Linked DNA regions of Struthio camelus. The protein of the gene in region 3 binds, or shares a complex with, the protein of the main gene of each other region. Links are inferred from orthologs where the notes say so. Each region holds a gene or a part of one and is shown on either strand. Other genes may lie near its edges.

What was found. The genes of interacting proteins can lie anywhere in the genome.
Region 1: the proteins of SUMO3 (region 3) and SENP1 are in contact, whole or in part, in a crystal structure (PDB 6NNQ), measured with the Homo sapiens proteins. The link is inferred for Struthio camelus from reciprocal best matches to the Homo sapiens genes SUMO3 and SENP1. Residues at the interface, in NP_008867.2 of Homo sapiens: Gln24, Ser53, Arg55, Gln56, Arg58, Arg60, Asp62, Gly63, Pro65, Asn67, Thr69, Asp70, Gln74, Glu76, Asp84, Phe86, Gln87, Gln88, Gln89, Thr90, Gly91, Gly92; in NP_001254523.1 of Homo sapiens: Gln440, Asp441, Glu446, Arg449, Leu450, Thr451, Lys455, Trp465, Leu466, Asn467, Asp468, Glu469, Asn494, Thr495, Phe496, Lys500, Arg511, Trp512, Lys514, Lys515, His529, Gly531, Val532, His533, Trp534, Gln597, Gly600, Ser601, Asp602, Cys603.
Region 2: the proteins of SUMO3 (region 3) and USPL1 are in contact, whole or in part, in a crystal structure (PDB 7ZJU), measured with the Homo sapiens proteins. The link is inferred for Struthio camelus from reciprocal best matches to the Homo sapiens genes SUMO3 and USPL1. Residues at the interface, in NP_008867.2 of Homo sapiens: Gln24, Asp25, Gly26, Ser27, Val28, Arg58, Arg60, Gly63, Gln64, Pro65, Ile66, Asn67, Asp70, Leu75, Phe86, Gln87, Gln89, Thr90, Gly91; in NP_005791.3 of Homo sapiens: Ala234, Cys236, Trp237, Pro321, Gln322, Leu323, Arg324, Met330, Glu331, Ser332, Val334, Phe335, Leu339, Tyr368, Thr378, Thr380, His393, Phe394, Gly395, Pro396, Asn398, Arg407, His421, Val423, Tyr451, Asn454, Asn455, His456, Phe457, His493.

The regions. Positions count from the first base shown.
Region 1 is NC_090969.1:3,526,401-3,530,141, forward strand, and holds the start of SENP1 (sentrin-specific protease 1), read right to left. Parts: upstream 2,461-3,741; 5' UTR 2,337-2,460; intron 1,886-2,336; 5' UTR 1,839-1,885; coding exon 1,835-1,838; intron 1,430-1,834; coding exon 1,299-1,429; intron 390-1,298; coding exon 317-389; intron 210-316; coding exon 50-209; intron 1-49. Other genes in the region: PFKM (ATP-dependent 6-phosphofructokinase, muscle type), read left to right, coding at 3,197-3,323. UniProt on the Homo sapiens protein: Protease that catalyzes two essential functions in the SUMO pathway.
Region 2 is NC_090942.1:199,403,875-199,407,615, reverse strand, and holds the start of USPL1 (SUMO-specific isopeptidase USPL1), read left to right. Parts: upstream 1-1,503; 5' UTR 1,504-1,735; intron 1,736-3,741. UniProt on the Homo sapiens protein: SUMO-specific isopeptidase involved in protein desumoylation. Specifically binds SUMO proteins with a higher affinity for SUMO2 and SUMO3 which it cleaves more efficiently. Also able to process full-length SUMO proteins to their mature forms.
Region 3 is NC_090950.1:3,429,132-3,432,872, forward strand, and holds the start of SUMO3 (small ubiquitin-related modifier 3), read right to left. Parts: upstream 2,414-3,741; 5' UTR 2,241-2,413; coding exon 2,220-2,240; intron 1,470-2,219; coding exon 1,341-1,469; intron 1-1,340. UniProt on the Homo sapiens protein: Ubiquitin-like protein which can be covalently attached to target lysines either as a monomer or as a lysine-linked polymer. Does not seem to be involved in protein degradation and may function as an antagonist of ubiquitin in the degradation process.

The DNA of each region.
Region 1 (3,741 bases), on a different chromosome or scaffold from region 3:
CAGAGGGCCCTTTGGGGGGAAGCTAAACACGGAGGAGATGCGGACGCACCTGGGGTTTTTGCGTGATTCGAGATAAGAGCCTCGACTCACTCGAGGCTTCTGCAACACAGAACCTAGAGTGGGAACCAGACCCCTCCACTGCCCATTCGCGCTTGAGCCAAATGCTCGAGGTTCTCCTGGTGCCTGGAAGGTCTCAGGACATGGAACTTCTGCCGGGGAGAAGCACAGTAACAGTCAAGACAGAGCCACATCTTCCGCTGGAGGGAACAACAGGAAAAACAAACATCTATATCCAGGGCAGAAAACTATGTCTTACCTGGGCTGTAATTGAGGGTGCATGATGCATTTCCAGCAGGACAAGTGAAATTGCCAATCTTGTTTGGTAAGAACTAGGCAAAGAGATTGTAACCTTTTATTAAAAAAGAAGTATAGCTCTCAACTTTAAACCTCACTCGCAACAGAACTATAAAGGCACGTGACAAGTTACAGCTCCTCTCCCTCCCTGACCACATAATTATAAATTAGGAACTACTGAAAGAGTAGAACGGTGTAATAATATACCAGTCCTGGCCTGACAATGCAGCACATTGTCACGAAGGTGTCACTCACTCCCCAATAAGTCTAAAATCCACTCTGCCAGGTGGAATTTCAATTTTAATGAAAAGAGAAAAACAAATGTTGTTTTCATCTTGGTATAGGGCAAAAAAACAGTTTCATAGCTATGCTGGTACTGTCTCCTAGTCGACGCGTTGAGACATGACTATGTGATACATGCACATGCTTGCAGACTCCATAAAACAAGCAAACCTGTGTATTTTACTTTCCACAGGATTCACGTGCACACACAAGGGCTCGTGTGCAGATTTCACAAGCAATTTCGGCTTTATAAGCTTATCAGTAACTAAAAGCACAATGTGGCTCCTAAAGCAGTGGCTCTGTTCAGGAAGTATTTGGCATTATCGACAGCAGGCAATCAGCACTACTGTATAATAGAGAGTCACTCTTTGAAACACCCAGCAGGTTGCATTCAAAGGTTAACGTGCACTGGTATCTTATCCTGTGATAACAGCTGGATGCTGCAGAGAAAGGCCCTGCCCACAGTGGCTTCCACCCCAGGAGGAAGACTGATACTGAAAGATAGAGACGGAAGCAACAAGAGAAGTAATCAGCCCAAAAGACCAGCTGCCCAAGCACATCACCTTCAGAGAAAGGGCCGAGCAGAGATCATTTCGAGTGAAAAGAAGCAACAGCACGGACAAAGGACGGCTCTGCCAGGAAGGAATAAACAGGTCGCAAACCTTGCTGTCCGACTGCAAAAGCTGATCCCGCAGGCTCGCTCTTGATTGCGGAGGGAAAGCTTTGAACATGGAACTGTGGTTAGTCAACGCCGCATCTCTGGCTTCCATCCTCACCGGGTCAGCAATTTCATCTGAGGAAAGAGCCCCCATGAATCCCCAGAAGACTCAAGAGCAGAAGTTTCTGCTCAGTTGCACTCAGAGAGGTTTGTTCTGCTTAGATTAGAGCAGCTGCAGGCTGGGTTAGAAGGCTTCACTTTTCCTTTTTTTAAAGGAAAGATGAATATCACAAAAAAAAAAAAAAATCAATAAAAACGACAGTCCCTTTCATCAGTCCTGCAAGCCTCCAGTCAGCTCCTTAAATAACATCTGCACCTTAGCATTGCCTCTAAGCTCCAAATATTTTTCTGTAATCGCAAGAAATGACGTGAGGCATCAAGAGAAGTTACACGAGCAGGAGAAAGTGGGACCAGAGACCACGTAAGTGCCAGTGCAGCCCAAACCCTTCGCTCCGGCATAGCAGAAACACATGCACCTACCCATCTCCAGGCAGCTCACATCCCTGACCGGCACGGCTCACCCGCGGAGATCTGCAAGAACACAAGGGTTATACCGACAGCACCGTGCAAAAAAACACCCCCGTGGCCACGACGGACCGGGGGAACCCGTGGGGCACAGCCAGGAGGGAGGAGCAGGAGGCCTCTTATTAGTCGAAATGATATAATAGAGAAAAAGGGGCCTAGTGGCTTTTTTTTTTACGCAAAGGCAGCGAGCGGAGCGCCCGGGCGAGGGGCCTGTCCCGCTCCCGGCCACGCCGCGGCCCCCCAACCCGGCCGCCGCCGGACAACGTCCCCGCCGCGCTGCGGCGCCCACGGAGCAGCCGGGTGCACGGCTCCCCACCGGGGGCGACGAAGAGCTCGGCGGCGGCGGGGGCCGCAGGGCCGGTAACCCGCCACTGCTGCCCTGCCGCGGGGCGGGGGGCGGTCCGGGGCTCCCCGGAGCGCGGCGGGGGCGGCGGCGGAGGGGGAGGGGGGCGCTCACCGGCAGCGGAACCGGCGCGAGGCCGCGCGCGCGCGCGCGCGAGTTTCCCGGGCGCCTCCGGCAGCTCCCGGCAACGAGGCAGGCGGAAGCGGAAGTCGGCGCTGAGCGCGACGGCGCCGGAAGTGACGTCACGGGGAGGACGGGGGCCCGGCCGGCGGGGGAGGGGCCCGCGCATGCGCAGCCCGGAGAGGGGCGGAGGCCGCCCCCTGGCGGCGCGGATGTCCCAGGGGTGTCGTCTTATGGGGGGCACCCTAACAGGGGGGCAATCCGGGGGGGGGGGAATCACGCTATGGGGGGAGTTACTCTATAGGGGGGTTACTATGGGGGGATGTCACCGTATGGGGGGTGTTAATCTATGGGGGAGCACCCTATGGGGGGCAGTCGGGGGGGGGAATCGCCTTATGAGGGCACCCTATGCGGGGAGTGATTCTATGGGGGGGGCCCATATGGGGGGGCCCATGAGGGTGTCACCTTATGGGGGGCACCCTATGGAGGGCTCCCAATGTGTGGGGATTGCCTTGGGGAGTGTCACCCTACATGGCCGTGTCACCCCATGGGAGGGGGGGTTCACTCTGAGGTGTCACCCTATGGAGAGGACACCCTATGGAGGGGACACCCCGCTGGGGTGTCACACTGTGGGCCAGTGCCACCCCTGGAGCCCCATCTGCAGGGTCTCCGTGAAGCCGGTCCCATTATAATGTGGTCCCTGTACAGCCAGTCCTGTTACAACTGATCCCATTACAGCCGGTCCCTGCACAGCCTATCCCATTACAGCCGGTCCCTGCACAGCTGATCCTGTTACAGCCGATCCCATTCCAGCTGTCCCCATACGGCTGGTCCCGTGATGCCTCGGGGCAGCCATGGGGGTTTTCCCGGAGCTCTCCCTGGAGGCCTCCAAGCTCCTCCTGTCGGCCTCGCTCACCTGTGCCGCCGTCTTCCTCTTCCTCACCTTCTTCCCCTTCGCCCAGAAAGGACGGGAGCCGCCAGGTCAGTGTGGACTCGGACCAGGAGGGACATGGGACTGGTCCCAGCGGTGAGAGCAGCCTGGTACCAACAGGCACCAAGGAAGGGAAAGGAAAGGGGAAAAAGGGGAAAAGAAAGGGGAAAAAGGAAAGGAAGGGAAAAAGGAAAGGAAAGGAGGGGAAAAGGCAAGAAAAAGCAAAAAGGAAAGGGATAAGCAAAAAGGAAAGGAGGAAGAGAACAAAAGGAAAAGGGAAAGGGAGGGAGGATGGGACAGGGCGAAGGGGAAAGTGCTGTCCTCTGCCCTGGGGGCTGCTAAGACCCCTATAGCCCGAGGCCATGGTGCTGTTCCCTGCCCTAGGGCCGTGCCCATCCAGGTCCCCAAAACACCTTGGCCAACCCCTCCGGCGACCGCCGGTGTTGCAGCCTCCGTGCCTCAGTTCCC
Region 2 (3,741 bases), on a different chromosome or scaffold from region 3:
CCCTGTAATTTAAACATAAGAACATATTACTAGGACTAAAGAAACCTAGAATGCCATGAGGCAAATCATTATACAAGTACCACTATCCACTGAAACTACTTAACATTGTTCAATGTATTGCATTACTCTACCAGTTTTAACAGTCACCTTCATCAGTTGAAAAAGACTTGAAATACACATACTCTATTTAATGTGCTATGTATGTAGAAAGGCCAACCTCAACAGCTGTAGAGACACTCATTTCCCTGTCCTATTCAACATACCTCAAAGTGCTTTACGTTTCTGATGGGAGCACACAGAAAAAGTACCTGCTCCACAATAAAAGCACTAATGAATCAAACCCCAAGACCAAATAAAGAACCACCCCTCACAAAATTACCACTGAATTTCATTGCAATCTTTCACCAGCCAGGAAAACTTCTTCCTCCAACAGAGGAAAATATCCCAAAACATTAATTCTAATTTCAAAATATTGCCAAAGGAATCAAAGGAAGAGTAACTACAGCAAAAAAGGAAAACAAAAATGGATCTCAACAGAACCATTACATAGCAAATTATTTCACAATTCCAAACATACAAAGCTAAACACTTTTTAAAATCAAATGAAGAGGAAGGCACCAGCAAACCGGAGACAGATAAAATACAAGACATTTCTCATGCCATCGCTAGAACAATTTCCTGAGTCATCCCATTCTTCAGCCCCGGGAGCAGCCTGGCTAGGGCCGCGCTAACAGACTTCTCAGCGTTGCCGAAGCAGAGCGTTGACCTAAACGCGGCTGCTATCCAGCTCCTTGCAGTTCACGCTGGAGGAAGAGGGGCCGATATGGATTTCAGAACTTGCATCAAATGCTTAAGCTATTTCAGCTTGATACTGCCAGCGCAGAAACGCTCCTGGAAACTGACAGTCCTGAACGAAACCTCCAAAAACGACCGCGAGAAACATTCTAAGCTACCTAATCGGACAGGCTCTTTTTATTTTAAAAAAAAAAAAAAACACCCGTCGGCCAGCGCCGACGCCTCCAGCCGGGAGGGAGCTGGGACGGGCCGGGCTGCGGCGGCGAGGCCGGGCCCGCTGAGGCGGCGGGTGCCGGGCCTCCTGCGCCAGCGCCCGCGGGGAGGCACGGAAGGGGGGAGGCGGCGGGGGGAGGACGCAGGTAGGGCCGCGCCGCGCCCTCCTCCCGGGGCCAGCCCACACGGGGCGGGCGGCCCGGCCCGGCCCGGCCCGGCCCGCCGCTCCCCTCCCCTCGCTCCGCCCCGAGGAGGAAGGAAAAAAGGAGGAGGGAGGAGAGGAAATACCTCCGCCGCTCCTCGCCCCAGCGCCGGCCACCGCGCAGGCCCTCACCCGCCGGCTGGCGGCGGCTCCGCGGCCGTTGGCTGCCGGGAGCGGAGCGGGGCGGGGCCGGCATGGCGGCGGGGGCGCGCGCGCCGGAAGCTGCGCGGCGGCGGCGTGCGCCAGGCTCGGCGCTGCCGGCCGTTGGCCTCGCGGCGGCGTTTAACCGCCTCGCTCGCTCGCGCGCGGGCGCGTGGGGCTGCCGGGCAGTAACGGCCGCCGAGTAACGGGCGGCCAGTAACGGGCGCGGCGCGGGGAGGCCGCGCGTGCGGTTCGCGGGGCGCCGCCGAGGCCGCCGGAGCGCGACGCCGAGGGCCGGGAGCCGAGAGCGGCGGCGGCGCGGGGAGACGAGACAAGGCGCGGCGCGGAGCGGAGCTGCGGGGGCCGGCGCGGAGCCGCCAGCAGGTGAGCGGTGGCCTTGGGCGCTCCGCGCCCCCTCCGGGGCCGCGCCGCTGCTGCGGGAAGGAGCAGGGCCTGGGCGCCTGGCGCGCTCGTTTTGCTGGGAGCAGTGTTCAGGCCTTTGCCTCGTTACTCGGGGGTGCCTGTTCCCTAGGTTGCGTTAAAATGACTGTCTTATATTTCTGAATGCCGACTTAGTATTTCTTGTCAACGTCTGTGTTTCTGAGGTCCTGTTCTTTCTAGTCAGTTAGCGTTAGCTAACTTTAATAGCTAACATTTAACAACAGATGTACGTGGTGATGTACTAGCACGTGTTTATATTTCCCTTGCACGGTTTTCTGACGTTCAAATGATTAACTACATGTATTTTTTTCTTCTACAGTCTTTCCCTAGTGAATGGATCACTCTGGATGTGGGGAAAAAAAACTAAGGAGGCTGTTTTGCCATAGGTTTCTTTTGAAGCATTTGAGCACTACTTGGTGTTGAAGGAAGGGCAGCAACCAGAACAGTGTCAGCCAGTTAGCTGGAGCCGTGTCCATGTGCCCTTCACTTCCACTGCCTGAGTCTGTTTCTGAAATCGTGCATGTGTTAGCTGTAGGGATAACAAATACTAGTTTAAGCTATATTTTTTCCATACTAACTTACTTCTTGTAAAAGCGCTAAAAGGCATCATTGGCAAGATGCTTAGTGCCTGTACATTCCAGTACCTGCATCAAAGCATGTAGTGTACTAGGACATTTAAGATAAGCTTGACTATAGAAGAAGCTTTTAGAACAACTTAGTAATCATACTGCAAATTAGTTTATTTCACAACTTCGTGTATTTCAGCTTCGTTTGCCTTAGTCTGGGTTAGGCTCTTTGCAGGAAAGAATCTTGCATTTGCCGCCCACCACAGGAGGATGGAATTGTAGTTCTGCCTAGCATGTATGGCCTGTGACGTAGGTACAGTTACCAAATGACATCAGCAGTGTCTCTTTAATGTCACACTTACTGGAATACATTTTTTTGGCCAAAGCTGTAATTTTTTCATGCTCTGTGATTTGAATATTAATAGTTACAGCTGGAGATTATAAAAAAAAGACTGTTTTGCGTAAGGAATACACACATACCTAGTAACGTGGTCAATGTAAACGTGTGTGACTTTCTTTTCAAACTTTTTTCACCCTTCCTTTTCAATTTCCCTTTGAAGGAGAGAAGGCATAGGATTTGCAAGAAGTTTAGGCTTAGAAGAGATGTTCACTGTAATGTAATCACTGTTCTGTAACCTGCTTACTGGAGTTCCTAACTGACCTTATTTCACAAGATACTGAAACTGTTACTTGTGTCACAAGGTACACCTCACTGTTATCAAAAGCCTGCTTGCCATATAAATTCTCCACCTCTTCCCTGCTTTCTGTCTTCTGTGTCGTTATCTCTGCAGCTCATCAGACCTTTTCATAAACCAGCTTAACTCACTCAAGTCTTAAGTTTTCTGCTGTTTTATGAGTTCAGCTAGCTTATGGAAAGTCTGACAAAGATGTGAACTGTTGGGTTGGTGATGGAATGAGAAAGAGGAGAAGAGAGATGCGAGACCTTCCTATTACATAGCAGTGACCTATTGGATCATCAGTTACCTGAGGAACCTTAACTTTAGCCTAGTAATTATACCTAGTCAGTAGCATATTTTGCATTATACTTTGCAAGTGTCCAGCATAAGGGAAAGTAGAATAAATGTTTTAAAACATAGCACAGTAAGCTTGAAAGCATATTCCTATTTATTTTCTGATATGTAATGCTGATGTTACATGCTGCTGCAATGGGTCGCTTCAGTAGTTTGTAAAGCAGTCTTTTAGTTATCTGTTTTTCTTGGCAATTGTTCTTAGTTCTTATATGTTGTGCAAATACTACAAATAGTTTACTGTAATTTTACACATACTGAAATGTACCGATAGGTCGCCTAGTACCACTCGGTATATCTAGTACTGGCAGGCCTGTTTTATTAACTGGTTCTTTATATGTCTTTGAAATAAAAA
Region 3 (3,741 bases):
CCCATATTTAAGTCGCAAGACTTTGATTCGTGCCAGGCATCCTCTCCCAACTCTAGTTCTTTAATCTTCTGATAAAGAAAAGGAAACATGAAGCAAAGATTGTCTGAGGGGAAAAAAATTTGCAGGCCTTTATGCAGATCTTTACTTAGAAAAGTCATTAGAAAAAACACCAGGGCTTTTAAGTGTTAGACTTAACTCAGTGGGTTAACGCTGCCTTTAAAATCTTCATTGAATTCACAAGGGAATCATGTTATGACAGCGTTGAATTACATGATACAGTCTTTATTCCCTGCCTCAGTGATCTACGTCTTTGTTTTGACCTCTAAAATCCTTTGAAAACCCTGTGCTACTCAGACATGTTTCCAATCACGCATACCACCATCGCACAGATGCAAAAATTCCTCATGCATCTCTCAAGATGATACTGTATGTAGCTCTTGTTCCCAACCTGAGTGGCATTTTGCTCCATCAAGCATGAGAGGGCAGAACATACAACTCAGGTGAGCAAAGAAAGGATCCCACATATATTAGATACGGCGATGCCTGCAAACAAAATTTCACTCCACTTCAGGAAGGGTAGGAACGCGAACGGCTTTCATTTTCTGTGCCACCTAATACGGTGTAGAAGTAGTTCAAACATTCAGAACTACAGACTCGAGAAGCAGGCTATCAGGGTAAATCACACTTCCATATAAATGGGGACAGCACCAAAGAATAGTCTCCTACACAAAGCAGCTTCCTGCCACCTGTAGAGTACAGCAATCAAAGCTGTGGAGCATGCAAGGGAAGGTAGGTGAAGGGAGGAGAAAAAAATTTGTAAACAAAAAACGTCACAGCATGTTACAATTTGTTTTCCTGCCATTTTCCAAACGGAAAATACATATACATACTGTATAAAGTCAATAAAGATTTTACAGATAATAAAACTGTGGGTTAGGAAGCTAAAGATTCCTACTCTCCCACAGAAAATCAGTCTGAGCTAAGATCGGAACTCAAGAAATTCTGACTCCTGGTATCGTCATGGGAAGATTTTAGAAATCCAGAAGCACACAGCGAGGAAGGGGCGACTTTCATCAACTCTAGCGTTAAAATCTTTTTTGTCGGTTAAGTTTAGGAGTCTGGACTTAGCATCCTAAATCTTTACTCTCTTGCGCTTCTGTACAAACAGGCATATTCACTCTCTGATGCATTGATGTTTATAATGTTCCAGAAAGAAAAACAGTGGAATTTCCATACTGCCAAGGGCTCTTCCTTATGAAATGATAAGAGTCCCAAGCAGCATGAAGAACCCTCTGCAGAACCGGACCATAACCTGCAAAAGCAGTGTTTGATGTACATACCTGCCTCTCGCAATAAGCCTTCATCAGCTTGCTTAAAGGTGTGTGCCTTTTTATTTTGAACTGGACCACAGAACCATCCTGGCCAGCAACTTTTAAATTGATGTGATCATTCTCTGTTTTCACTCCTTCCTGAACAAAAACAGACAAAAAGGCAGAACACAGTGAGCACTGCTTTGAATAAAAGTGATCTAAAGGCTCCATTACAAACAGTAACAAAGCTCTCAACCACCAGAAGCTTTTCTTCCTGTTTATAAAGGGAGGATGCTCTCCACAGCACACAGAGGGGGGGGGGGTTAAAAAAAAAAAAAAACCTGCACGGTTTTGCAGTCATCATTTCAGGTAATAGGGGAAAAGCAAAAAACTTCACGGAGCAAATCCCAGCACACCTACATACCTCTGTAGGTAACAGAGGTCATTTCTGTTACCTGGATGCCCCCTGAAAATGAACTGCAGAGACATGCAGCCGTACAAACTCCACTCACGTTCCCTTCACTTTTTCCCTGTTTACGAACTCTGCACGCTCCTAGCATTGCACAGATAAGAACGACCGTACTACCGAACAATTTTCCTCAGGAAAGCCCCCGATTTTGCAGTTTCCACTCAGCGGCGAAGTTCAAGGGACTTCCGCAGGACCCCACTTCCCCGCCCCCTCCCCCCGCTCAGCCCTCCATCTTGGCCCCCTCACGCCACCCCGGGTGTACGCGTGGGGGGACCGGTCACGGGGGCGGGGCGGGGCAGCGTCGCCCTCACCGGGACACCCTGCCCCGCCATCCTGGCAGCCCCCGCCGAAGAAGGCCTCCCCCCTCCGGCCGCCTCAGGCCTCGCCCGGCCGCGGCCCACCGGGACAGCGGAGGGGAAGCCAGGTCCGCCGCGCCTCACCTTGGGCTTCTCCTCCGACATGGCGGCGGGGACGGGACGGGACGGGACGGGACGGGACGGGGGGAAGGGAAGGGAGGGGAAGGCGGCGCGCGCGCGCCCGCGCGCTGAGGGGAACGGCCCGCGCGCTCGGCTCCCGCCGGCCGCCGCCGCCAACCGCCCGCGAGAGCGCGCGCACGCGCGCGCGCGCCCCACCTCACCCCCCCCCCACCCCCCGCCGCCGCCGCCGCCAGCAGCCCCGGGCGCCGATTGGCCGCCGCGCGGGGTCACGTGGGAGGCGATGGGCGCGCGCGCGCGCGCGCGCCGGGAGGACGCTGCCCCCTCGGCGGGCGGGGAGGGGGGAAGGCGGCGGCGCGCGCGCGCGCCCGGCCCGAGGCGGCTCTGGAAAGTGCGTCACGGGGCGCCGGAAGGGCGGGGCGGGCGCGGCTGGGCCGGTCGCGCCTCGGGGCCGCGCTGAGGCGGCGGAGGGGGGGGGGGGGGCGCCCCGCGGTGCCACACAGACGCGGTTTTGGAGTGGGCCGGAGCTCAGCCCCAGGCTTTGGGGGGGGGGGGGATCCCGCCTTGTGCCCTGCCCGCCCCGGAGGGCCGCAGGGCGGGCGGGTTCCCCCAGGGTCAGCGGGGATGGAAGGAGGAAGAGCATGCCCCGGCCCCGCAGCGGTTGTGTGCGCGGAGAAGGACCCTTTCCAGCCTCTCGGGCGGTGCCTGCTGTCCACAGCCCAGGTGACACGGAGCGGGGGGGAAGCGGCGCTGTTGGCCGGCCCCGCGCGTCACTGCTCACAGAGCTGGAGTTCACCTGCAGCCCAGATTTTATCTGGGTATTTTAATTACTTTCAGGAAGTCGGTTGTCCCTTCCAGTACCCACCTCTCCTATGAAAGAGCGCCCATCCCTTCCAGGGCAGCCCTTTGTTTGCCGGCCGCAGCTGCCCGCTCTGCCCTGCCCTGCCCCTCAGCCCGGCACCAGCTCCATCCTGCGCGTTTCCTGATGCGGGGCAGTCCTGTAGGCAGCAGTTGCACCACTGCACAGGTATGACCATCCCCTGGCTCAGAGCCAAGTTGCCCTTTGCACCCTTTTAATCTGTTCCTCCTCTGTTTCCCCCCCGCCCCCCCAACGCGTTCCCCAAGCGCACGTCATCCTTGGCCAGGCAGGCTGCGCTCAGCGAAGCGAGCTCTCACTCATCAGATACGCCGCTCACCAAACTGCTTTCCCCCTCTGCGCTGATGTCCCCCCCCAGCCCCAGAGCACGGCAAGCCCCACCAGCATGCAGAGGCCTCTCTGCAGGGACTCATTAATCCTCATGAAGGCTCCTTCCCAGACAGCTGGCTCCACTCTGCAGCCTCAACTTTGCATTCCCTATTTGTAAAGCACCACATTTAGGAGACGTTTTTTCCCCAGACAAACAGATCCCATTCTGCTAGTTCCCTCTCCTTTACAGAGGCAAAGGGGACCAAGAGGGGTGTTTTGTCTTCCAGTGGCTTTGAAGCCAAGAAGAGGGTTTTGGTTTTGCTTAGGAGCGCAAACTGACTG